Linked DNA regions of Drosophila melanogaster. Changing the gene in region 1 together with any one later gene gives a genetic interaction. Each region holds a gene or a part of one and is shown in the gene's direction. Other genes may lie near its edges.

Region 1 (4,711 bases):
TGTTGTTGTATATAAGAGTTTGTACAATATATGTAAAATCCCTAAATGTAATCTTTTTCATTATTGAGTAGTCATAAAGTCTTGGCATTTAACGAACACATTATCCTACACTCGGTCAACAAATCTTTTGAGCACTCACTCACATATTGTGAATATCCATGGCCATATGTTTGGCAATCGTTATAATCCCTGGCCAAATCCCTTCCGACCAGAACAGACTATCTATATGCCAGGGGCGTAACTTCCCACGACACCGCCGACGGATAGGGTAGATGCCGAATTTACGATGACATTTATGCGTAATTTTTGGTCGAATTTTATAGCCGCAATTGGACTGAGTTTCATTGGGAAAGAAAAGAGTTCTGTTCTCCACTGGCCCCCGCAGAGAAAGTGTCAAATAAATTTGATTGCCAAGTGATGTCTCGTAATTGAAACGGAACAGTTAATTCCGGGCATCATTAAGGCGACACACCCACCTTGAGTGCGGGAATCTGGGACCAGGTAGGATGTGCTTCCCCAGCACAGCCTCATAATATGCCACGTCATGACTTTCTTCTGTGTCAACGCCCCTCGAGTCCCGGTCGGAGCACCCTTTCCCATTGTCCGCCGTAATCCTTTGAGTTCCTATCGCGTGCTACGATCCTGATCTTTGGGCGACTCCTTGGCAGAAAGGCGCCGCGGGTTGCTCGCTCAGTTCGTGTCATAATTGCATGGCATTTGGTCTGTCGTGGAAGTGTGAAAATTATGGAGTTTCCTCACCCTTTCGTCATCTTAATGATTATGTTTGTTTCGTTTATCTCTGACTTGAGATCGCCAAGGGGCCCAAGGAATTTGTTTGGCAAACTTTGCTTCATTCATATGCGTGAGTTATGGCATTTGCCTTTGGGTTTGTAGGGGAGGTTTTCCAATATGGGATTTCTTCTTTTTGATTTCCGTTTTTTTGCGTGCTAAATTGTGTTTTACGATTATGAGATCCCTGATTTCATCTTGAAGATATCGGCAGGAGCTCGACATTTCGGTTTCTTTTTTTGCAAACGTTTATTTCTTTATCGATTTTGAGATCGTGAGAAGTAGTTCCGTTAGCTATACCGTTGCCTTACCAAATTCTATAATAGTGACTATATATAGTGGTAATATTTCTATATTTCTGTGAGTCATTTCCATTAAAATTTACGTTTGATTTTGAAATTTTTTTACAGAATAATTTCTACCTCTGAAGTTAAGTAGATTTAGCAGCTTTAATGTCCGCATTAAAAAAGTCTTAAAGCCTTGAACTAAATTACTTTCCGTGCTTCGTTGGAACCATCTCCATTTTGTTCGTAACTCTGCTTGCCCTCCAACCATTTCACTTTGCTCCCCATTTCGACATCCACATCCAGTTCGAAAGTAAATAGGCCCGACCACTGGCATCTGCCAGTGACTGTCGCCAGGTGTACCCATCAGAACCCATGCCATACAGCACATCCCCATCCACACACAGCCCCATCCCCATCTCCATTTCCATTACTGATGTTGTAAACTTTTTTTCTGAACTTAATTAGCTTTGACTGGGGTTGGGGCCGTGTTCTTTGCCATCGAGTGCCTCAAACCCCTGGTTCTCATATCGTACAATTACCCAGTGGAGCGCGTGCTGCAACCGCAGGTGCTAGAGCAGCACAGCACTCGTCTCCCTGCCCAGTTGCCAGTTCCCAGCTCCCAGCTCCCTGTGCTCAAGCTCTCCCAGCTCCCAGTTCCCTATAGAACGAATTCTCCATCTCCAGCTGCTGCTACCACTACTACCAATCAAACCTGCTCGGGAACTCTCCTAATTTCCCAAACTGGAGTGCCGGATAAGGCGGATAAGCCGCACACAAGCGCACCCGAACTGGAAGTCAGCATGGACCAATGGGCGTACCGCTTTGCGACCGAGCAACCCTCGTGCGATTCGACCGCTGGCAACTTAACTGTGCTGCGCAGAGCGGGCCCAGTTAGTCAGCCTTGCGCAGTCGATGCGAACGGACGCGTCGCTCCAGAGAAAAGTTGAGAAGAAGTACACAGTAGTAATAGACTATTGAGAAGGAAAACTATAGTGACCGCGTGTGAACTTGAAACTAACGATTACATAGACACATCAAAAATGGTTTTGAACGGCATGCCTATAACAATGCCAGTACCGATGCCAGTGCCCATGCCTGTGCCCAGTCCTCCGGCCACCAAGTCCCGGGTGGCGATCGACTGGGACATCAACGATTCCAAGATGCCGTCGGTGGGGGAGTTTGACGATTTCAATGACTGGTCCAACGGACATTGCCGGCTCATCTACTCCGTGCAGAGTGATGAGGCCAGGAAACATGCCAGCGGTTGGGCCATGCGAAACACCAACAACCACAACGTGAATATCCTAAAGAAGAGCTGCCTGGGAGTGCTCCTCTGCAGTGCCAAGTGCAAGTTGCCCAATGGAGCCAGTGTGCATCTGAGACCCGCCATTTGCGACAAGGCCAGAAGGAAGCAGCAGGGCAAACAGTGTCCCAATAGGTGGGTTTTTGACTAAACACAAAATCCAAGAATTGTCAAAACTAACTCGGTATTTTTATTTTTTTTTCTTGACAGAAATTGCAATGGTCGCTTGGAAATCCAGGCTTGCCGCGGCCACTGCGGCTATCCAGTGACCCACTTCTGGCGCAGGGACGGAAATGGAATCTATTTCCAGGCCAAGGGCACCCACGATCACCCCAGACCCGAAGCCAAGGGATCCACGGAAGCCAGGCGACTTTTGGCAGGAGGAAGACGTGTGCGAAGTTTGGCCGTAATGTTGGCCAGGGAATCGGCGCTGAGCGACAAGCTGAGTAGCCTGAGACCCACAAAACGGCAGGCCAAGACTCAGTCCATCCAGGAGAGCAAGCGCAGAAGGATGGGTGCTTCCGATGTGCTCGAAACCAAGCAGGAGTTAGTGGTGCCACCCACCACCTACCTGCCCACATCGACGCCCACACATAGCACCAACTTTAATCAATCTCAGGGTTCATATGTCCCAGCAGGACAAGGATCAGTGATCAGTCAGTGGAATAGAGAGATTCACTACGAAACGGAGGATCCATGCTATGCCAATGGAATGTACTCCTACGATATGCTCCACTCACCTCTCTCAGCGCATAGCTCCACGGGCAGTTATTACCAGGAGAACAAACCGCAGCAACTGCAGCACTCACAATACCAGCAGCAACTCTCACCGCAGCAACATGTACCAGTCAGCTATGATCCCAGCCAGCCAATCTCCTCCAGCCTTCAGTGCGGAATGCCTTCGTATGAAATATGCGACGATACGTCCAGTTTGACCAGCAGCTCGGGCTACTGTTCCGAGGATTATGGCTACTACAATGGATATCTACCCAACTCGCTGGACGTGAGCAATGGAAGCCAAAGCCAGAATCTTAGCCAGGATGCAAGTTTCTACACAACCAGCTCGGAGATCTTCAGTGTGTTTGAGTCAACTCTGAATGGCGGAGGGACCAGTGGCGTGGATCTCATCTACGACGAAGCAACCGCCTATCAGCAACATCAGCAACAGGGAACTTTTCCGCATCTCACCAATTATCAACAGGAGCCGCAGGATCAGATGCAGTCCGCCGACTACTACTACAGCAATACGGGAGTGGACAACTCGTGGAACATTCAAATGGACGCGACATATCACCCAGTCAACAGCACGGATCCCATCTATTGCTAGGGGATCGGGATAAGATCTCTCATCGCAACTACTATTACTGAGCCACTCAAGCGTTGTTCTAGTCCCTAGTTGATTGATTTCCATTCATGTTCCCATTGCTTGTTGGTCGTGTATTATTATATATTGAACGTTTCTAGTTTGTACTTTTGTACTTGTTTCCCAGCTATTCCAAAGTTTTAGAGCACGTAAGAGTAATAGTATTCTTAAGCACATAGAGTTTTAAGTCACATTTCCCACCTATTTATGAACTTTTTTGTAGTAATAAACATTTTTGAAAGAAAAACTTAATCGAAGCAGCCTTTTTTTGAGAATTGACACGTGTCAAGCAAGGGAGCTCGTAATCATTGTCAGTATAACATTACCAGCGGCAGGATATACAACTAGGGATTTTCCTCAACAACAAGTTTAAATTCGTTAGTCAACCAAAATCGTGTAACAATGGGTGCTTGTCGCCCTAGAAAATGTAGTGCAAATAACCGAACTATGGCAATTGTGAGTACTAAATAAAGGCCTAAACAAATAACAATGAATAAAACCAAATTTTGTATTGAGAAGCGTCGCCGTAGAGCTCTAGTTAACTTGCTATTTTTGCGCCGTCATTTGATTGGACAGGCACTTGGAATTACGAATCGGGAAACTCCAGACCTTAGGGTAAAATCGCGGCGACGCAATCGTAGAAGGAGAATGCAATTCAGAGTCCGTACACCAAGTGATAATGCAATGCGCTCAGTAAGGCATCATGGACAGAATCCAATCAGCCCAGGATCACGGCTACAACGAAATAATCCACTTTGGGGACACGCCGACATTATAACCACAGATAGAGCGTTGGAAGCTTTAAATGGACTTACTACAGGGAACAGGGAACCAAATGCATTGTCAGTAATGGTGCGATATACCAATGGGCGGTGTAAGTTGAGCTGTACTTATTGCTAATACAATGAAGTGCATAATTAATACTCTCTTATTAGATTATTTAAGCTTAGAGCCAAGTGGAAATCAGCA
Region 2 (6,463 bases), 1.5 Mb from region 1:
CCCCCTGTCCACTGCCGGACGCAGCTGCTTGTAGCACGTTGGGATGCAAACAGTGGGGCAGACTTGTGGGCAAGGGAATGTTGTTGCGCCGTAGAACCACCAAATGCATGGCGGCCGTAAACTCAGACAGACTTAGCGCTCCATCGCGGGTAACGTCACACAACTGCCAAATGTGACGTAGCTCCTCCACAGGAATGCGGCTCTTTTCAAAAAAGTTTCTAATAAAAAAAGGAATAAGAAAATAATAAGAAGAATAAAGTTATAAACGTTCCTAAAGCCAACTTACCTTGCTGCTTGGCCCGAAAGCAGACCATGCGGATCCCTTTGCACCGTCCTGAACTGCTTATTATAGTACTCGCGCTGTTCCGGGGTTATCTGGTAAATGGTCACCAATTCGCTCTCGTTGTCATCGTCGTCGCTGCTGTGGCGATCGGAAGACTCTTCCTCCGTGCCTAGCAGCTGGCGATGCTCGTCGCCCAGCAAACCCTGCCAGAGGGTGTCCTGCGCCCAAGGCCGCTCAGCCACGCTGTTGGTGGGCGTGGGGCTGTCACTGTTAGTGCTCCAGGCTTCTGGCGATCCACCACCAGTACCGCCTCCTCGTCGTCGCTAAAAGAGATAAGGCATGGACGGGGATCGGTCAATGGTAAGCTTATTTACAAATGTCACAAGATAAGATAGAAGTACAAACCCCGACATTTTCGCGGCTGCTGCTGCTGACGACCCCACAGCCATCCGTACCTCGTCCATGGCCTGTCGCATCGTCCACTGATTCGTTTTGCTCAACCTCGGAGTCGGTGCTGGGCACATCAGAGGTGTCTTGCAGCTGCTCTTGCTGCGAGTTACGACGCAGTGAATTTCTGCGATCTGTGGGTGGTGGCGGTGGCAAGGCAGTCAATCCATTTTCGACAGCCACCGGAGCTGTAACCGCCTCCTTCCAGCTAAAGTGCGGTAATGGAAGCGGAAACGTGGCCAAGATCAGCTCCTGGCGCAGGGGCATGGCCGCCTGATGAGCAGCGATTAGCTTCAGGCATGAGTAGAACTGTGTCCGCGAGATGTGTAGCGCCGTGGAGGGTATCCCCGCCAGACCGGTGATCTATAAGCCCAGACCCAGATAATTAATCACTCACGATCACACAAATTGGACCTACCTCAATCACGGTCTCATTGGCGATGTCCGCCGAGCGAAAGAGCTCGGTGGCCTTAAGCATGGGCACCTTGCCTGTCTTCTCCACGTCGCAGCATTGGAACAACTCACTGTAGAAGCGCGTCTCCGGCTCAGTGAGGGACACGTCCATGCCTGTCGCCTACTTGTTGCCGTCTCTGGTTTCGTTTACCAAGCCGCTGGTTAACGAGCCACGCCCCGTTCGTCCGTCCTGGACCCGGAATCCAATTCGTTTGTTTACTTCCACGTTTAACCCAGCAGGCCAGTGCCGACCCCGCTGCCCCGCGCTGCTCACAACCAGAAGTCTGATGATTTTCTGCCTTTGGCCCCCAAGACGGAGTTGGAGGAGGTGGAAGCTGGGAGAACTGCGGGGACGATGGTTTCGCTAACTTCTTGGTGCCACCACAACCACGATGGTTAGAGGATTCACGGCACTGGTCGACGAGGGTACACCTAGTGCCTCAAGCTGCTCGGCGCACAATCAATTTGGCTTTTTGTCCAGGTTTTTTTTCGCAAACTCTTTTGCACTGTGTGTGCGCTGGCTCTCGATATCGATAGGTTGCGGTATCGATTCGATTAGACAGCTGGCGCGGCAGCCCTGTACCTGTTAGCGTTTCGCAGCCCTAGTTACCGGCAAAAGTTTAGTTCCGCAGGATTGATGTTTTGTAAGGTGGCTTACCATGTTCATTTATATTTCATTATGGATTAAACTATAATAAAATTTAATGTTGCTGAATGAAGAAAAAATCATTTCTTCATTATTTTTAACGATATTTTTTTAACCGTCAACAAATTTCCTGTAGCCCTGTGCCACTGACGTCACCAATTCGCAAAGACTTTCCTGCGTCACCTTTCGTTGCACCACAGTGATCCCCACTCTGTTATTGTTGTCTGCGGCTGAACTGTTGCGACGCAAAAATTTAAAGGATTTGAAAGTCTTTATAGACTTATTTTAGTTAATAAACAGCCTCTGTGCAATCAAGGATGTTCTCCAGAAAGAAGCCAGAGCCAGCGAAAAGAAGGCAACACGATTTATCGCAGGTGAGAGGAAAAACAAACAGTCTAGATCCGTCTATTTATTAATTATGACTCATCGTTTGGACTGTCTTTTTTGTTTTTTGTGTTTAGTTCGGTCTTACGGAAATCCCAGATGATTTTGATCCCAGCGCTGGATATGGTGAGGACGATGGGGGTGACAGTGATTTGGAGGCAGAGCTTGCGGCCATAACCGGCGGAGAAGGAGCCAAGCCAAAGCCCAAGCCCAAAGCAAAGCTGTTACCCGCCAGTGATTTGGACAAAATGATAGCCGACAGCTTGCGTGATGTCAGCGACGATGATGATGATGACAATTTGGAAAGCGATCCGGATCTTCTTGGCGAGCTGAGCGGAATCGGTGGTCTAGAGGAGGCAGAGGAAGAGGAGCCTGTCGCACAACCGCCAGCTGCCTCTGAGGAACCCGTCCAGACCTTTCTGCCCACGACGACTGTGGACACATTAAGCATTATCAAACAGCGCCTGGAAATGTACAAGCAGGCCGAGGCCAATGCCAAGACTGCCGGCGATTCTGGCAAAGCAAGGCGATTTGGAAGAGGCCTTAAGACTCTGAAAGATCTGCACAGGCAGGCAGCGGCTGGCAAGTCCATTAACGTGGATGACATTCCACCTGAAGTCAGTGTAAAGCCAATTGGCGGGCAGGCTCCTCCAGTGCCTGCAGAGGAGTCACCAGCTCCTTCCACACCTGCTTCCCCTCCGCCTGTGCCTAGTCGTGCAGCTCCAGATCCACCAACCCCCGGCACCCCCGTGGAGCCCACTACATCTGTGGCTCCCACATCTCCCCCTAATCCTCTTGTGACGCAAATGCGCAGCCGCCAGACGGACTACAAAGCTGCTGCACTGCAATCTAAGCGCAGTGGTGACATATCTACTGCCCTTCAGTTTCTCAAAGTGGTCAAGCAATTTGACGTAGTTATAAAAATGTGTGAAGACGGACAGGAAGTTGATTTGAGTGACATGCCCCCTCCACCAGCTGAGTTTCTTGAATTCCTTAAAAAAATGCAAGAAGAAGCAGCCGCAGAAGCTGTCGCAGAACCTACTGCTGCCCCAGAACCCACACCTGTTGCTCCTGCTCCTGTTCTAGCAGCTGCAACAAATATGTTGGAGGCTCTGCAGCAACGTTTAGAGAAATATCAATCTGTAGAAGCGGCAGCCAAGGCAGAAAACAATAGCGGAAAAGCAAGACGCTTTGGAAGGATTGTGAAGCAATACGAAGATGCCATAAAGTTGTACAAGGCAGGCAAACCAGTGCCTTACGATGAGCTGCCTGTGCCACCAGGTTTTGGACCGCTGCCTACGGCTGATGCTGCTCCTGTCGCGCCGACACCGTCGCTGCCCACTTCGCCTACATCTCCACCGCCAACAGCAAGTACTTCCGCAGGAGGAACACCCTCCAGTTCCAGTGCGACGACACCTACAGCTCCTCGAAAAGCACCTTCACCTCCTAAGCCCAAAGAGTTAACAACACGCACGTCTGGCAATCAGCAGAAGAATAATATTGCCGAGCAACAAATGAAACTGCTCCTCGAGCGCCAAAAGGAGTTTAAGCTAGCTGCTATAGAGGCCAAAAAAGCGGGAGAAATAGATCAGGCGAAGGAGTACCTCAAGATCTTCAAGGGATTCGATTCCCTTCTTAATGCAGCGAGTAGTGGATTGCCAGTGGACCTCAGCACTGTAAGTTTTGCATTACATCTTCTTCTTGTATGGCTAACTATATATTTTTTTTTTTCAGCTTCCCGTCCCGCCTTCACAAAGGGATAATCTAGAAGCCTCCTTTGCCATTGTATCTGCTGAGGAATGCGATCCGACAGATGATATCTGTGAAATTGGTGTTCGCATGGAGGAGCAGCTGGCAAAACAACTGATGATGTGCAAAAATACGCGAGATCATCACAAAGCTATGGGAGATGTAGCAGGCATGAATCGGTTTGAAAATTTAGCCTTAACTGTGCAAAAGGATTTGGATTTGGTGCGATACTCGAAACGAAAGAATGAACCACTGCCAAAGTTTCACTATGAAAAGCGTAGCTTCAACATTGTGCATTGCAACACAGATCTCACAGACAGTGAGCTTGAAATTGTTGTGGTCCGGGGAATCAGCTACAATGTGGCCAATCCCAAGGACGTGGATACTTATGTGCGCGTAGAGTTTCCCCTGCTCAATGTAAGCTAATTACCAACATTTAAAGTTTCACCAATTATTTATATGTTTTCGTTTTAAGGATGAATCTTTCAAGACTAAAACCAATGTTATCAGAGACACCAGCAGTCCTGACTACGATGAACGCTTCAAGGTTGACATCCAGCGGACCAATCGTCAGTTCCAGAGAATCTTTAAGCGGCATGGCGTCAAGTTTGAAATATACTCTAGAGGGTAAGTTGCCCGTACATAAAAGAACTGAGCTAGAACAATTATTTAATCCGTACTAAGAAGCTTTCCATGCATATTAATCTCAACTAACGGAGGCGGTATATGATCTTATTTACGCGTATTAATTTTCCAAGGAATACTTAGTAATATCCGATGAGTAGTAATCTTCTACATTTTGAAATAGCCTTAAAGACTTAAATAAAAATATATATATAATTTTAAAAAATATTTGGCATAGATCATTTTGCGAAAATTTAAAAAGCTGTTGATTGAGCTGCATACCTACTAAATATTTTTATCCAATTTGTAGGTTTCGCTTGGGTATTAATTTGCTCTTAATATTAAGTTTCAGCTCTTAATTTGAATTATTAAATTTTTCCCGTAGTAAGCATGTTCCTTTGGTCCCGTAAAACAGTATCGTACGAGTCACGGCTTCAAGCACACATATATTTCACCGTATGTGTCTACCCATTGATCTTCTTGATTGATTCTCACAAGGAACATTTTAATGAAATATTTTTACAAATTTTTACGCCTCAATTCCCAACAATTCAAACAAAAAATAAATGTCATCCAATGCTACGCATTTAATATAAATAGCTGCAGTATAGATTGTTGTGGACTAAGTCGTAAACTGCCCCTGTGTTGTTTCAGAGGTTTTCTGCGATCGGATACGTTGATCGGAACCGTAAATGTCAAGCTGCAGCCATTGGAGACCAAGTGCGAGATACACGACACATATGATGTAAGTGATAACTACTATAATAAAATAATATAAACTTAAATTTAACCTATGTATTCCTTAAAACAGCTAATGGATGGTCGCAAGCAAGTAGGTGGAAAATTGGAAGTCAAGATACGCGTTCGCAATCCTATTCTCACCAAGCAAATGGAGCACATCACCGAAAAGTGGTTGGTCTTGGATGCCTAGGGCTAAACAAGAAAATTTAAATAAAATAGGAACGCGTCCCCTTGCGATTGTTCTCGATTAAGTCACTAAGTTATTTGTTTGTAAATATCCCTCACAGAAAATTCAATTTATCTAAGTATGTACGCTTTTGCCGATTCCTTCGCAGGAAGAAGGCATTTATATATTACGAACACAACACATATAATGTACTATAAATATCTTTATATATAAATAATATATGTATATATGATATTGCCGGCGTTAAGGCGAAGGCGCAAGTCCAGAAGATTGTGCCGGTGAAGTCAGTCCATTCCAAGAGAGACAGATTGAGAGTAGGATCGGTCCACTAGCGCCTAGCCGAAACCTGATTATGTTAGCTTTCACATTGCATAAATATTTTCTTTTGATTTATAAACTGTTTGTTGAACTACAACTCCAGATATTCGACTATTTGTGAGTAGGGACTGGTTTCATTAAACACATCCACACCGCGAACTTTATAGAAACCTGCCGACAAAAAAAGATTTCGGTTATGAAAGATGGAAATTTTGCAGGTTATGCTCACCATTGACGGATCCCTTATCGCCGGGCGCATACTGAAACGACGGATATGGCAGATGCCAGCCCTGTGAGATGAGCATCCAGTCGGCGGAGCGACCCAGATTATCGCGTTCCTTAAACCACACCTCGTAGCTGAGAAGGCACTGCGTGGATTTGGGGTGTTCCATCCAGCTAATGAACACCTCACGCTGAGTCACCTCTGCGATGGAAAGTTGCTGCGGTCGTCGCAGTTTGGGCCAAGATGCGGAACACACCCGGAGCAGCATCGCCCAGGGCAGTGGGATGCTGGCGGAGTTGATAACTAGCTCGCTGTTGTACTGCCAGATGGGTCCCGTCTTGTAGAGTCTAGGTGCTTGGGCTCTTCGCATCGCTTCCCTTAGAGTGGCGTTGGGATAAGCCGGACTTC
Region 3 (7,950 bases), on another chromosome or scaffold:
AAAAAACTAAAAGGTGCACCGTTAAAAAAGTTTAATGTCCCTTTTTTAGTCCTGCAGGCAAATCAAGGTAACTTTTCATGCTTCTCTTCACTTGATCCTTTTTCACGCTTTTCGCTTCTCCTTCTGAACTTCTACACTTCACAGAAACCGACACCGACTGTATATTTTGCTATGTATATTATACACGGACACACACTCACTGGCAAAAAGGACATGCGTTTGGCACAGCCTTCGGGCATTTTATGTTTAATATAAATAAGTAGCGGCAGCACGTTGGAGAATATATATTACGGTTTTCTGCTCTGCTCACGGGAACACTAGTTCTAGTTGGGATCAGTGTGACCAGAGGCGCGCTGCGTGTGCAGCCCAATCAGAAGTCCTGGGCAAACGTTCAAAGCGAGCGCGGGAAATAGGTCCGCAAGCATTGCAAGTATTACCTTTGGATTTAGCAGAAATGCATTAATATTACATTTAGTATTACATTTTATACAGGAAATGGCAGCTACATTTGTGTGTTCAAAGTTGCGTAAATATGAATTCCAATTGGAAAGTTGCCGATAGGTACTTATCGAGTGGAAGCACTATACTATCGATATGGAATAACTTTATTTATTCTAATAAACATTTAAGGAACACCTACTATTTCATTCTAAGCCCCTTTCCAGCCTAATTAAATTTAAATGTATGTTGAAATGATCCAATTTCAATTCTATTTTCCTTTCTGCATAATATTAAGCCATCTATCAACAATATTTCATCATTATAAAAGAAGAGATTAAAACTATCCAAGCAAAGGATTACAACACAATGCATTTTAAACGTACGAAACGAAAGATGTATTTATTTTCGGTACGCTAACGTAGGGCCGACCAAACAATTGAGTTGCGCTACCGAATTAAATATTAATTCCGGAACTCGAATCACGGATTTCAATTTCGGGCTGGGTGCAGACTACGGGCCACATACTTTGGATGTCGGCGGCGAAACGCAGCGCGGAAAAAAATGTGCTTACATGATAATTTTTTGTTTAAAAATAGATTTAACAGTAGGACAGTGACGGAAGCGTCCACGGACTCGGATACCCAGATCCCGGTGTCGGTGTCGATTAAGCGAACAAATCTACAGGTCGCCGCCACCTCGCTTTTGGAGCATCTGAGCGAACCGCTGGGTGATAAGCAGCGACGTGTCGATGAATCGGTCGACGCAGTTGCTCAGGCACGTCTCGGTGGCGTGGTCCAGCTTGGTACTCGGCTTGCCGATGCACTTCTCCCAGCAGATCTCGTTGAACTCGTGTATCTGGCGACGATATAATGTGCGAGGGCATATTGTTATGATTACGAATGGTTATTATGTGTATGGGGGAACCCGGCTCACCTGCGCGTTGACCTGTGCCTTCTGTTTCTCAATCAAGAGGAACTCCTGCAGCTCCTTGTCATTGCCGGAAAGGTTCTCAAAATCGGACATCGTGTGATTTTCAGTGAGCAATCTACAAATTGACCGGGCTCGTCCGGAATTTCATATATTCTAAGGTTTGAGGTTATATAAACGACACTGACAGCTGTGAACTGTGGAATTACAAAAATCGATGTGTATTCGATAGCAAAGCTATTCGATACTGGAAATGCCGTGCATATTGCACTGTTTGCACTGTTGTCATATTTAAATGGCAAGAATATAGACGCCATAGAGCAAATAACAGTATATTTTTTTTTCTTAAGCATCCTCCTCCTGCCAACGAGGGTATACAATTTTCAAGAATACATTTCTAAAGTAAGTTGTTATTTATATTTACTGAGAACTATCGAAAAAGAACTAGAACCTCGCGTTGCCAACCACTGGTTCGCAAGGTGCGATAGTACAGGTTATTGGACAATCGATGACAAAGTGGCTCGGCCGTCGGCCAATCGATATCGTGAGGTGCAAATTGTCCGATGAATTTCACTGAAATTCGTGGCTTGTATTGTAGCTTCGCAATTGCAGCTTCGTTTCGACAGCAGGCCCACTTTCAGATCGAAGGCGTCTATAATCGCCATCCAGTCCCGTCGCCCTGTTCCCACAACGCCCCACAAATTTCGGGATCTAGCTGGCGTTTCGGGTGTCTAATTTCGGACCAGTGCACTGTGATTTCCGATTTCCAGTTTACTTTGCTGACGGATCGCCCAAGTGGCGAAGTGGTTCTTGCTCGGAAAGTTGGCGCTTGCTAAAAGAAGGAGCAGTCCAGGTGGTTCCCCGCCAGTGGCATCAATGGAACTCGCGCTGGAGTTTGGGGCAACCTTGCAACTGCAAGGGTAAGAGCATCGCCGATTCCAGGAGCATTCGCAGTAAGCCCAAAAATAGCAACTCAAGTCAGTCGCGGTGGTCATTGTTATTGGCAAGAAGAAGAGGAAACGGATAGAACGCGGCAAATTCCTAGGAAAGCTCCCATGATCTAGCTTCAGTGCGGCCGCGTAAGGAAACTGCTCCAGCCAAGGAACTGGGCTTGCAGGAGCAGCAGATAGCACCCAGCCCACAAGGGACCACTCACCGACAATCCTCTCATGGCCCTGGCCAACGGGGGAGAGGATAGAATGGACGACAGCAGCAGCGGACGCACTTCGCTGGCGGACAGCGCCAGCCTGACGAACTCCTCGCTGCGCAGCGGCACCTCCTCGCAGAGCATCCACACCAACGATGGCACAATCCGTGTGTTCAACTTCACCACCGGCGAATTTGAGCGTTTCCATCCCAACATGCTGTGCGAGGAGATCTGCAATACGATGTGCCGCCAGCTGGGCATTGCACCAATTGCCCAGCTGCTCTACGGAATACGGGAGCACTCGACATCGCGACGTCCCTCGCCGCTGGTGCGTTTGGATCTGACGTGGTGCCTGCCCGGCGAGCGACTCAACTGCCAGCTGGTCTATTGCTTTCGGATGCGTTTCCGTGTGCCCGAATTGGATAGCCAGCTGGAGTTGATCGATGGACGGAGCCACAAGTTCCTCTACCGCCAAATGCGCTACGATATGCGGACCGAGCAAATCCCGGAGATTCGCTATCCGGAGCACAAGGACAAATCAACGGGACTGGCCGTGATGGATATGCTAATCGACGATCAGGAACAGTCGGAGGATCAGCAGGCGATGCGCTCCATCGAGAAGCTTTACAAACTGTATTTGCCACCGAGCTTGTGGCGCGCCCACAGCTTCTTTGTGGGCTCCAAGATACGTGAGGTTTTCCGCAGTCTAAAAGCGAATTCGCTGAGTGTGGAGCGTTTGAAGTGGCACTATGTGCATCAGGTATCCCATTTGGCGCCCACCTATATGACCGAACAGTTCACCTGCACCGTTCAGTATCTGCCCAACGAGGAGGTGGCCCGCGGTAGCGGACCCATCGGCACCAGTCTGGCCCACTCGACGTCGACGCTGGCCAGTTCTGGATCGACCAACACTCTGTCCACGCTCACCACCAACACCAATTCCGTTGCACTCGGCGGCAGTGGCAAGAAGGCCAAACGACGTTCCACCAGCGGTGGAATCGATGTCTATGTGCGAGTCTTTCCACACGATTCCCTGGAGCCTGGACTCAAGGTGGCCAGGGTCACCTCCGAGGCCACACTCAAGGTACACACTATGTTTCCTTCTGAAATCTTATATGGTTTCTTGTGGTTTTCCCATCGAAATGCGCATTTTAATGCTGGCCATTTTAAATATGGAAATACCATTAATATTATAATATTTAAAAAACATTTTGATAGATTTCTCAATTTAATTAACGCGATTGTCTTGGTAATCAAGTTGCTTATCGCTGGCAAAGATTCTTGAAATATTCATACATACATACCATATGTAATTGCACTAGCATCCCATTGATAATCCTCATTTCCTCTGCAGTGGATCCTTGTTGGCGCCGTGGAAGGAATTTTTATGATCTCCAAAATCAACGACACCTCTGTGCGGCTGGAAATCGTTGGTCTGCCCAAGGGCTACGAGATGCAGTTTCAGACGGAGAAGGAGATGAAGTCCTTCATCTCCTACCTGGGTATCTACATCAGGTGAGTGGTTCACTTGTAATCGGTGAGCTTTAGATCCCAAAGAGTTCGCTTCCAACTAAATTTTAATCTTTTAAGCCGAACTTGCTTGGTCTTTTTTTCACCAGAATTTATAGGCATCTCATTGTAGTGTTCGTGTAACAATAATCAGTGCCCAATGTTCTTAATCAAACTACTCAATTGTTTTTTTTAACATCCATTGATTTAAAAAAAAAAACATCAAGTCATCAATTCCACGAACTCATTTAATAACATAATAATTCCACTTAAAAGTTAATGATTCCCACATAAATATGACATTTGATAACACGATTAAATACAGTGCTTGAAATGCTTGCTTTTTTGTTTAAAGAGTTTGTTAAAACCAAGTCCCTGTTTGTTTTGTAATCCAACACACAAAGTCGGTTTTCGTTATCAGGCTAAAATTAAAACAAGCAAGAAATTTAAAACTAAATGCTTTCAGAAGATTTCTTCAGTTAAATTGATTAAATAATTACGCACTAATCGGTTTTAAATGTTACATTGCTATTTATATCGCCTGCGTCAATGTGCAGTACTTCTCAATAACTCAATAAAGTTATATGTACGTAATTGAAACAATTGATTCCCAGCTATAGAATCACTTTTCAAATGCAATAATAATAATAATAATAATAATAATAACAATGCCAATGGACAGCAACAAATGTGCGCAACTTATAACTCGTATTTGCCATCCGTTTATTCCTTGCAGATTGTCGAGCAAATGGATGCAGGATCTGTGCCATTCGTACCGCACGCCCTCCCTGGAGGAGCTGAGCTCCCTCCACTGCCATGGTCCAATCGGCGGTGCCTACTCGCTGATGAAGCTGCACGAGAACGGTGACAAGTGCGGCAGCTATATTGTGCGTGAATGCGATCGAGAATACAACATATACTACATCGATATCAACACCAAAATGTGAGTACATGCGCGCCTTCACACAGTTATCAGTTACTTCCTCCTCGCTGGTTATCAGGCTTACAAACATTTCTGTATGCAATGCCACATGATACACAAAAATGCTGTGTGCGCTATGTGGCCAATTGTTTCGCTTACTGATGATTGCCTGTGTGTGTGTGTGATTGATGATGCCCAAATTAGATGTGATCGGTTTTATCTCATGCGAAAATCCCGCTCACCTTTGCAGCATGGCCAAGAAAACCGATCAGGAACGCTGCAAGACGGAGACATTTAGGATCGTGCGCAAGGACTCGCAATGGAAGCTAAGCTACAACAACGGCGAGCATGTACTAAACTCACTGCACGAAGTGGCGCACATCATTCAAGCGGATAGTCCCGATCGCTATCGCATACCCGCCTCCAAATATGACAAGCCGCCGCTGCTGCTACTGCTGCTGCCAAAGAACCTCAAGGCCAAAAAGACTGACCTCCAGCTGAGCGAGGCGGAGCTGCAGCGCCGCAATCCGCAGATCTTCAATCCCCGAACGGATCTGCAGTGGTATCCAGGTGGGTCATACTATATATTCTAATGCCTTGCTTCGTTCTAATCGCTCGTCTTTTGCGCAGATTCGATATCGCTTAGCGACGATGGCATGATGTTTACGATGCGCGGCGATTGGATCCAACAGAGTCCCGTCAAGGATGTGTCCGTGACGATGAAAATGCTAAAGAGCGATGGCAATTTCATGGAGTTCTTTCGCTTGGCACAGACCTGGAGCCTCATCCAGTCGCCGCAGTTCCTCAAGCTGTACGGCCTAACGCTCGCCGATCCGTACACAATGGTCATGGAGTATTCGCGGTATGGTCCGCTCAATAAGTTCCTGCACTCGATGCCCAATGTAACACTGCATTGTCTACTGGATCTGATGCATGGATTGGTGCGCGGCATGCACTATTTGGAGGACAACAAGATTATCCACAATTACATACGATGCAGTAATCTGTACGTGACCAAGTACGATCCGAATTCGTACGTGCTAGACGCGAAAATTAGCGATCCCGGCTATCCGCGTCCCTACCGAGAATCCGAGTGAGTAGCCGACAAATACAACTTAATCATCTTCTCGGTTGGGTCATACTCTTTGATAAAACAAAAAAAAAGCAAACAGCATTTTAAATAACATCATTCATTCTCCACTTTCAGCTCGCCATGGATACCTGTTAAGTATTATCGCAATTTGCAAGCAGCCAAAACGGATCAGTTTGCCCAGCTGTGGGCCTTCGCTACCACCATATACGAGATCTTCTCGCGCTGCAAGGAAGATCTGAGCACACTGCGCCAGGAGCAGCTACTCAGGCAGAAAAATCTCGATGGCAACATACTCAAGATGCTCGATCAGGACATCTGTCCGGCGCCGATATTCGAGACAATCATGGATGGATGGTCCGATGATGAGACCAAGCGCTTCAGTCACCACGACATTTTCTCGCGTCTCAACACGATCAAGGCGGAAATTCTGCCCAATTATATGCCGCCACCCGAGATCGCAACGAGTAAGTTGAGCAGACGAAAGCAGCGTTACGAGATTGGCATACATTTCATCTTCTATTTTTTTTTCCAGATGGAACTGGAGACGAGACCGTGATCGATAGAAGCGACATACCCTTTCTACCCTTTCCGCGTTCGAATATGTTGATGGTCATACCGCTGACCAGCGAATGTCGAGTGATCTACAACATGGAGAACATGATCGGGCGCGGTCATTATGGCACTGTCTACAAGGGTCATCTGGAGTTCAACGACAAGGATCAGCCGCGCGAGCAGGTTGCCATCAAGATGCTGAACACCATGCAGGTGTCGACCGATTTTCATCGCGAGATCGGCATCATGCGCACCCTCAGTCATCCGAACATAGTCAAGTTCAAGTATTGGGCTGAGAAGTCGCACTGCATCATTATGGAATATCTGCAATCTGGTTCCTTCGACATTTACCTGCGTTTCACGGCACCCAATCTCAATAATCCACGGCTCGTCAGCTTCGCTTTAGATATTGCAAATGTGAGTGGTTCGAATATGGCTTTAGAACGGAACAAGTTTTCCGGAAAAAAGAGGGAAAACTCAAAGAAAAATCTACAAATATTTTAAGGGTTTTTGCATCATAACTTGGCCAAAAGTGGTCAAATTTCGAAGGGAATGACTGTTTTTAAAAGCTTATGATCCCAATTAACAAATCCTATTTCTTTTTTTTTGAATTTGGTGGATTCAAAATTTTTCCATTTTTTTGAATTTTTTACAAGGGGTAACATCATCAAAATTTGCAAAAAATGGCAAAAAATTAAAAGTTCCCATTTTGAACCCCAATCGATTGGGAATTAAATTACGAGCCAAACGAGGTATAACAATCCATATTTGGGCTACTACTACCCAAGATGTGGCCAAAAAACTGCCCATTTTGGACAAAAAACCACAAAAAAGAACTTTGGTATAGAAAACTCATGTTTACGACTTTAGAAGAGATATTTCCTTTTGATCCAGTACTTAATCCAAATGCTTCTCGTCGCAGGGCATGAAATACTTGTCCGACATGGGACTCATCCACCGCGACCTGGCCGCCCGCAACATTTTGGTGGACCACAACGGCGATGGTGACTGCGTCAAAATCTCAGACTTCGGCCTGGCGCAATTCGCCAATTCCGATGGATATTACTATGCGAAAAGCAAGCGTGATATTCCCATTAGATGGTAAGAAAAAAAGAAGATGGATTGACGGTAGGCCACTATCGCAACTGAATATCTTTGCTTTCCATTGGTCAGGTACTCTCCGGAGGCCATCTCCACCTGCAGATTCTCATCGTATTCGGATGTTTGGAGCTATGGCGTGACGCTCTTCGAAATGTTTTCGCGCGGCGAGGAGCCCAATTTGGTGCCGATCCAGACATCGCAGGAGGATTTCCTCAATCGCCTTCAGAGCGGCGAACGGTGAGTTATCGTGAGATTTGG
Region 4 (4,741 bases), on another chromosome or scaffold:
AAAAGTTCCACCCGCCACTCAATCCGCAGTGCAAGTAACTAAGCAAATGCGATATGTGTGTGCTTAAATGCATATAGCATGTTTATGGGTCTGCCGAATGGGGTTTTTCGAATGGAGTAGGGTGCGTTTGTGGGTTTTGTGGCGGGGGGAAAGGGGGGATGGGTATTTCGGTGGCCTATGTGCGCCTATAATTATAAGGCATATACACTATATACATATGTACATGGGCATAGCATAGCTGCGTGTTTTTCGTCGGGTAAATAGGTGCACACGTCAATTGCTGGAACGACCTCAATGGGTTCCCACTTCCAGGCCCCCCCTTCCACGGCCCACATTCGTTTGATTTTTCCGCACTGGAAAGTGGGAAAACCGGAGCAATTATTTCCCGATCCGATCATGCTACAATTATGTATGTTTAATTTTTTTTTTTTGCTGCTGATGTTGTGTTTCACTATTCACCATTCCATTGCCGTGGAGCTAGAACATGCAATTATTTTAATGTATTCGGCCTTGGGACTCATGAATGTCAATTGGCACGTAAGTTCTCCATTAGCTATTAGCTTTTACCCGCGGCTCCACGCATCCAAATGCAAATCTCTATATGTATATATAGATATGTACCTAAATGTGTACATACAAACTCATATGGTTTACGCTGCAAATCAGTCGTTTTGTATGCTAGCTTCGTTTTTTTTATGGTTTTTTATGGGGGCTAGGCGACTCCCACCCACTCGCACATATTTATACAAATTGAGACAGCGGAAAAAGTGCAACTCATTTGAATGGTTTCGCCTTCATTATGCAAATACGAGCACTGTTGGTGGCGAATATTTATTTGCTCATTATAAATACATAGAGTTTCTGGCATTTTAGCAATCATGACTTGCACGCACACGAGCATTAAACGAGTTTCTAAAATTCAGTGTAATGATCGAGTTTTATGGGACTATTGCATTCGAATTTGAACTGAGTGGGCGCCAACATATCGATAATATATAATGACAGTCGATATTTTCATAGCAACCAGCTTTCGCTGGGCTCGCTGCGCAACTAGGTGGCAGCTCTGAAATGTATATTACATGTAAGAAATCCTTTTACAAACTCAATAAATAATAATAAATGCTTGAAATAAATGTATATTTCAATACTTCTAAAGCATTTTATATATTATGTTTTTATTGGTATTACGGAAAACCTCCAACTTTCAATTTTAAAGCATTATATTTATAAATAAAATAATTCTACAAGCAAAAAAACTCATTTAATCCTGGAAGCACTTATGGATTTCACATTATAAAAGAACTGATTAAATGTATGAAGATACATCATTTTATTAACGTACATTTTGTAATATTTAATTTTTTGAATTTTCAGTTTCTGCGCGCCCATATCAAAGTCCGTAGCAAAAAAATCAATATAGGAAATGCAATAGGTGCAAGCGGGACGACCAGCTGAATCGAGCGGCGAAGCAAAGAAGACCCGATAAGGCGATGCCACCTAGTTAGAAACTAATAAGTAGTTGCATAAATAATACAGTTTTTTACACAATAGAAAATCCAAATGAGTTCTCACTCAATTTTAAAGCAAGTTATCTACTATTTGGAAACACTACCCAAGTAGTTTTCAGCCTTTGAGCACCTTTTGCTACATTTTAGCACCTTGCGGCGATCTGGCAGCGCCACACGAAAATGGCGAACACGAGCACTCCGATGAACGACGAGCTGAAAAAATAATTATTATTTTAAATTCCGTTTTGCCAGCGAAATTCGGTGCGTGCGCGAAAAAGAGTGCGGAAAAGCGCGGTTGAGAAATTTAATCGGCCCATTATGAAGCGGTCAAAGTGCGGCGCCAATGCAAATGGTTAGCCAAATGGCAAGAAATATGTAGCGATAGCGTGCCAGCCCAGTAAAATCAAATAGAATCAAATTTAAGTTTCTTGCTTTGCGAATTATGAAAAACCAATCGCAATGCGTGTGTGTGTGTGTACGTGTGGTGCGTGCGCGCGTGTGTTAGTGAGCGAGCGTAGAAGCAGAAGGCGTAGCGAGAAATAAAAATAAAAAACCATACAATAATTGATTTAAAAAAAAGAAAAGCAAAAAGGCCAACAAACGAAAAACAGCAGAAGCAACAAAAACACACGACAAGCGGCAGCAAAAACAACAACACAAAACTGGCGGTAAATACGCATACAGTACGATACAAAAAAATAAACTAGAAGCAACAACAAATACGCAACGTAACGGGAACTCTTTGACGTATTTCCTCTATTATTATGCAAAAAGGCAGGCGGCAAATTGCAGCAGCAGCGAAAATCAAATATAAATAGCGAAAAGGTAAGGACAGAGGCCCCACAAACTAAACTAAAAATAAGAGCCGAACATATTTGTTGTTTGCAGAGTGCAGTAAAATGGGTGCAAATAAATGGGCAAAAGAAAGAAGCAACAAAATACTGCAAACCTTTCAATTGGCTTCAATTGGCAAATGTAATTGTTCAGCATTACATTTGCATTACACCGCTCACCAACTCTTGCTCCCTCTCACTCTCTCTCTCACTGTGTTCTCCGCTTTTGCGCTCCCTTTGCCCCTTTTACTTTGCAAAGTTTTGCGACGAACAAGAACAATAATAATCAAAACAAAAATGTTTAAAATCCATTTTCTTTCGCCTCTCCTTCACCCACTCACTCATTTCGTAGCGCGCTGTCATTTGTCTTGCGCCTTTGCCTCCCCCCCTCTTCTTCTTCTTCTTCTACTTTACGTTGTCCCCTTCTTCTCTCTCTCCCCGCAACATTGCCGTCTCGCTCGCTCGCATGCACACCATGCACGGGTGAAGAGGAGACGTAACGAAAACGAAGTTGGTTTGCCTGGAATGCCACAGTGGGTACAAAAGGGTTTGATAGTGGTCACAGTCGACACAGTGGGGTGGGTATTTCATTATTCTGCAACAGAAACTCTTGTTATTCTTATTAAGTCAAGCAAAACTAGCAAAAATAAACATTTCTAGCCGGCTAAAAAAAAACTCAAAATCCAATCCAAAATCCAATAAATATTTAGTACAAAGTGCAAGATTGCTAATAAAATAAACCAAAAGTATAGCACTTACTTTTTGTAGGAGATGAAGGTTGTTAAAAGCATTCATATATAATTAATACGAATAAATTTATTTTATTTAAGTTCTAAATTATACGTACTTATCATTTTATATAAAGATTTACATTGCCTTATGCAGTGATGTTACAATCATCAATGTAGATCTTATAAGAATCAATAGGCCGTCCGTAGGTCGGGTAGGGTGTAGAAACATAAAGTGCAGTGAGGAAATATTAAAGGGCAAGAAAAAGTGAAAAAGCAATAGCACAAACATACAAAAAACACGAACACACATTATCCATTTGCCAAATAAACATGCACAAAGTAAGAGAAAGACGGGGAAAATGCAGAAGAAGAGGCTCCAAAAGGCGGCAAATCGCTGCATGTGTGTGTGTGAGCGAGAAGGCAACAATGGGACGAACAATATAAAAAAAAAAAAACGTGGAATTGGTCTAGTAATGTAAGAAGAAGAGCAGTAACAACGCGGACGAACGGACCGCATAATGCGCGTTTAATGATAAGTCTCTCTGTCCGAAACGAAGAGAGAGACATGGAGAGAGCGCGGCTGAGAGGCCCGCCGATTTTCGAGTGGGTGGCAACACCTAGTCTTCCTCTTTCTTTCACACCTTTTCTTGCCGCCGTTTTGTTTTGATTGCGAGTCTTCTGCGAAATGAAATGCAAATACAGTGGAGCAGCCTTAAGCTCGTAAACTTTTACATATACAATAAATGCAAATAATTTAAAATAAAACAAGTTTGGAAAATGCAACTATAAATTTTCTTATTATTTTTCTTAATTTGACTTCGAAATTTGTAAACAAAGATAGATTTCGAATAAATCAAATCAAAAACATCTCTTTGAGTATCCACTGTGGCAACTGTAACTTTGTAATAAAGAAATCCCTTGAAAATCTGACTTATTGTTCGGCATAAAATTGTGGTTGCATTTTAGCCTCCGCATTGGAAGTTGCAAGCAAAAGTTGGCATCTCCTCTCTGTCCGCCTCTTCGTCGCTCCATTGCCTCCCATTTTATTTGCACGGCAAGTTGCCTCCTCGAGCATCCTTTCAGCATTCCTATTATTCTTTTTTATGTTCCTTCCTTTTTTTTTTTGACAATGCCCCAACTAGCAAAAACAACTTGCAGGCACCAATACGTGCCATTGAAAACGAGAAAGGGAATTTAATCCGAAAAACACTGATTTCAGATACTCTAACTGCTACTTGGGGATTTTGTTTGAATGTTAATTAATTTAAAAACTAGTAGTAAATGGAAAAATGTAGTGTAAAAAGAGCGTTTTATTTGAAAATACCATTTATTTTGTTGTAAACATGTGACCATACTATGATACCCTTTTAAAAGGGCATACAAAAATGAAGTTTCACTGAAAACTGGTTTCAGTTTCGGTTTTCTTCCTTCTGGCCTGGCCCAACATTTTACATGAAAATGTGCAAAACAAAACCATTCCGGCGGTGCTAAAAACCACGCGACATGACCAGCACTAAATAAAGTTAAAATAGTAACTATTCGTTGAGCTCATAAGCTTTAAAAAAAAAGGTAACTTATGTTCGAAAATAAAACAAAATAAATTAGCTTGAATGGAATGTTCATTCATATACAAGTAATTTTGATTCTCTTCGGTAATCATATTCATTGG

The links.
Region 2: of gcm (region 1) and l(2)gd1, changing one suppresses a phenotype caused by changing the other (phenotypic suppression), as found in Drosophila melanogaster (one study listed by BioGRID).
Region 3: of gcm (region 1) and hop, changing one suppresses a phenotype caused by changing the other (phenotypic suppression), as found in Drosophila melanogaster (one study listed by BioGRID).
Region 4: of gcm (region 1) and psq, changing one enhances a phenotype caused by changing the other (phenotypic enhancement), as found in Drosophila melanogaster (one study listed by BioGRID).

Annotation. Positions count from the first base shown.
Region 1 is NT_033779.5:9,578,998-9,583,708, reverse strand, and holds gcm (glial cells missing), read left to right. Parts: upstream 1-1,963; 5' UTR 1,964-2,116; coding exon 2,117-2,514; intron 2,515-2,589; coding exon 2,590-3,706; 3' UTR 3,707-4,144; coding exon of another isoform or gene 4,145-4,198; 3' UTR 4,199-4,211; downstream 4,212-4,711. Other genes in the region: CG31709 (uncharacterized protein), read left to right, coding at 4,145-4,198, 4,262-4,616, 4,678-4,711. UniProt on the Drosophila melanogaster protein: Transcription factor that induces gliogenesis. It determines the choice between glial and neuronal fates. Also has a role in the differentiation of the plasmatocyte/macrophage lineage of hemocytes.
Region 2 is NT_033779.5:11,104,919-11,111,381, forward strand, and holds l(2)gd1 (lethal (2) giant discs 1), read left to right. Parts: upstream 1-2,024; 5' UTR 2,025-2,146; coding exon 2,147-2,203; intron 2,204-2,290; coding exon 2,291-3,889; intron 3,890-3,947; coding exon 3,948-4,379; intron 4,380-4,437; coding exon 4,438-4,589; intron 4,590-5,186; coding exon 5,187-5,331; intron 5,332-5,397; coding exon 5,398-5,517; 3' UTR 5,518-5,923; downstream 5,924-6,463. Other genes in the region: Reps (RALBP1 associated Eps domain containing), read right to left, coding at 1-218, 287-606, 689-1,093, 1,149-1,295; Idua (alpha-L-iduronidase), read right to left, coding at 5,924-6,003, 6,062-6,463. UniProt on the Drosophila melanogaster protein: Phosphatidyl inositol monophosphate binding protein involved in endosomal protein sorting through regulation of the endosomal sorting required for transport (ESCRT) pathway.
Region 3 is NC_004354.4:11,362,050-11,369,999, reverse strand, and holds the start of hop (hopscotch), read left to right. Parts: upstream 1-1,901; 5' UTR 1,902-2,537; coding exon 2,538-3,599; intron 3,600-3,869; coding exon 3,870-4,030; intron 4,031-4,760; coding exon 4,761-4,967; intron 4,968-5,196; coding exon 5,197-5,516; intron 5,517-5,576; coding exon 5,577-6,039; intron 6,040-6,153; coding exon 6,154-6,503; intron 6,504-6,571; coding exon 6,572-7,008; intron 7,009-7,513; coding exon 7,514-7,692; intron 7,693-7,764; coding exon 7,765-7,929; intron 7,930-7,950. Other genes in the region: Tim8, read right to left, coding at 1,120-1,296, 1,375-1,464. UniProt on the Drosophila melanogaster protein: Tyrosine kinase of the non-receptor type, phosphorylates the marelle protein. Required maternally for the establishment of the normal array of embryonic segments: involved in the control of pair-rule gene transcription in a stripe-specific manner.
Region 4 is NT_033778.4:10,556,201-10,560,941, forward strand, and holds the start of psq (pipsqueak), read left to right. Parts: upstream 1-1,687; 5' UTR 1,688-2,176; exon of another isoform or gene 2,177-2,333; intron 2,334-4,741.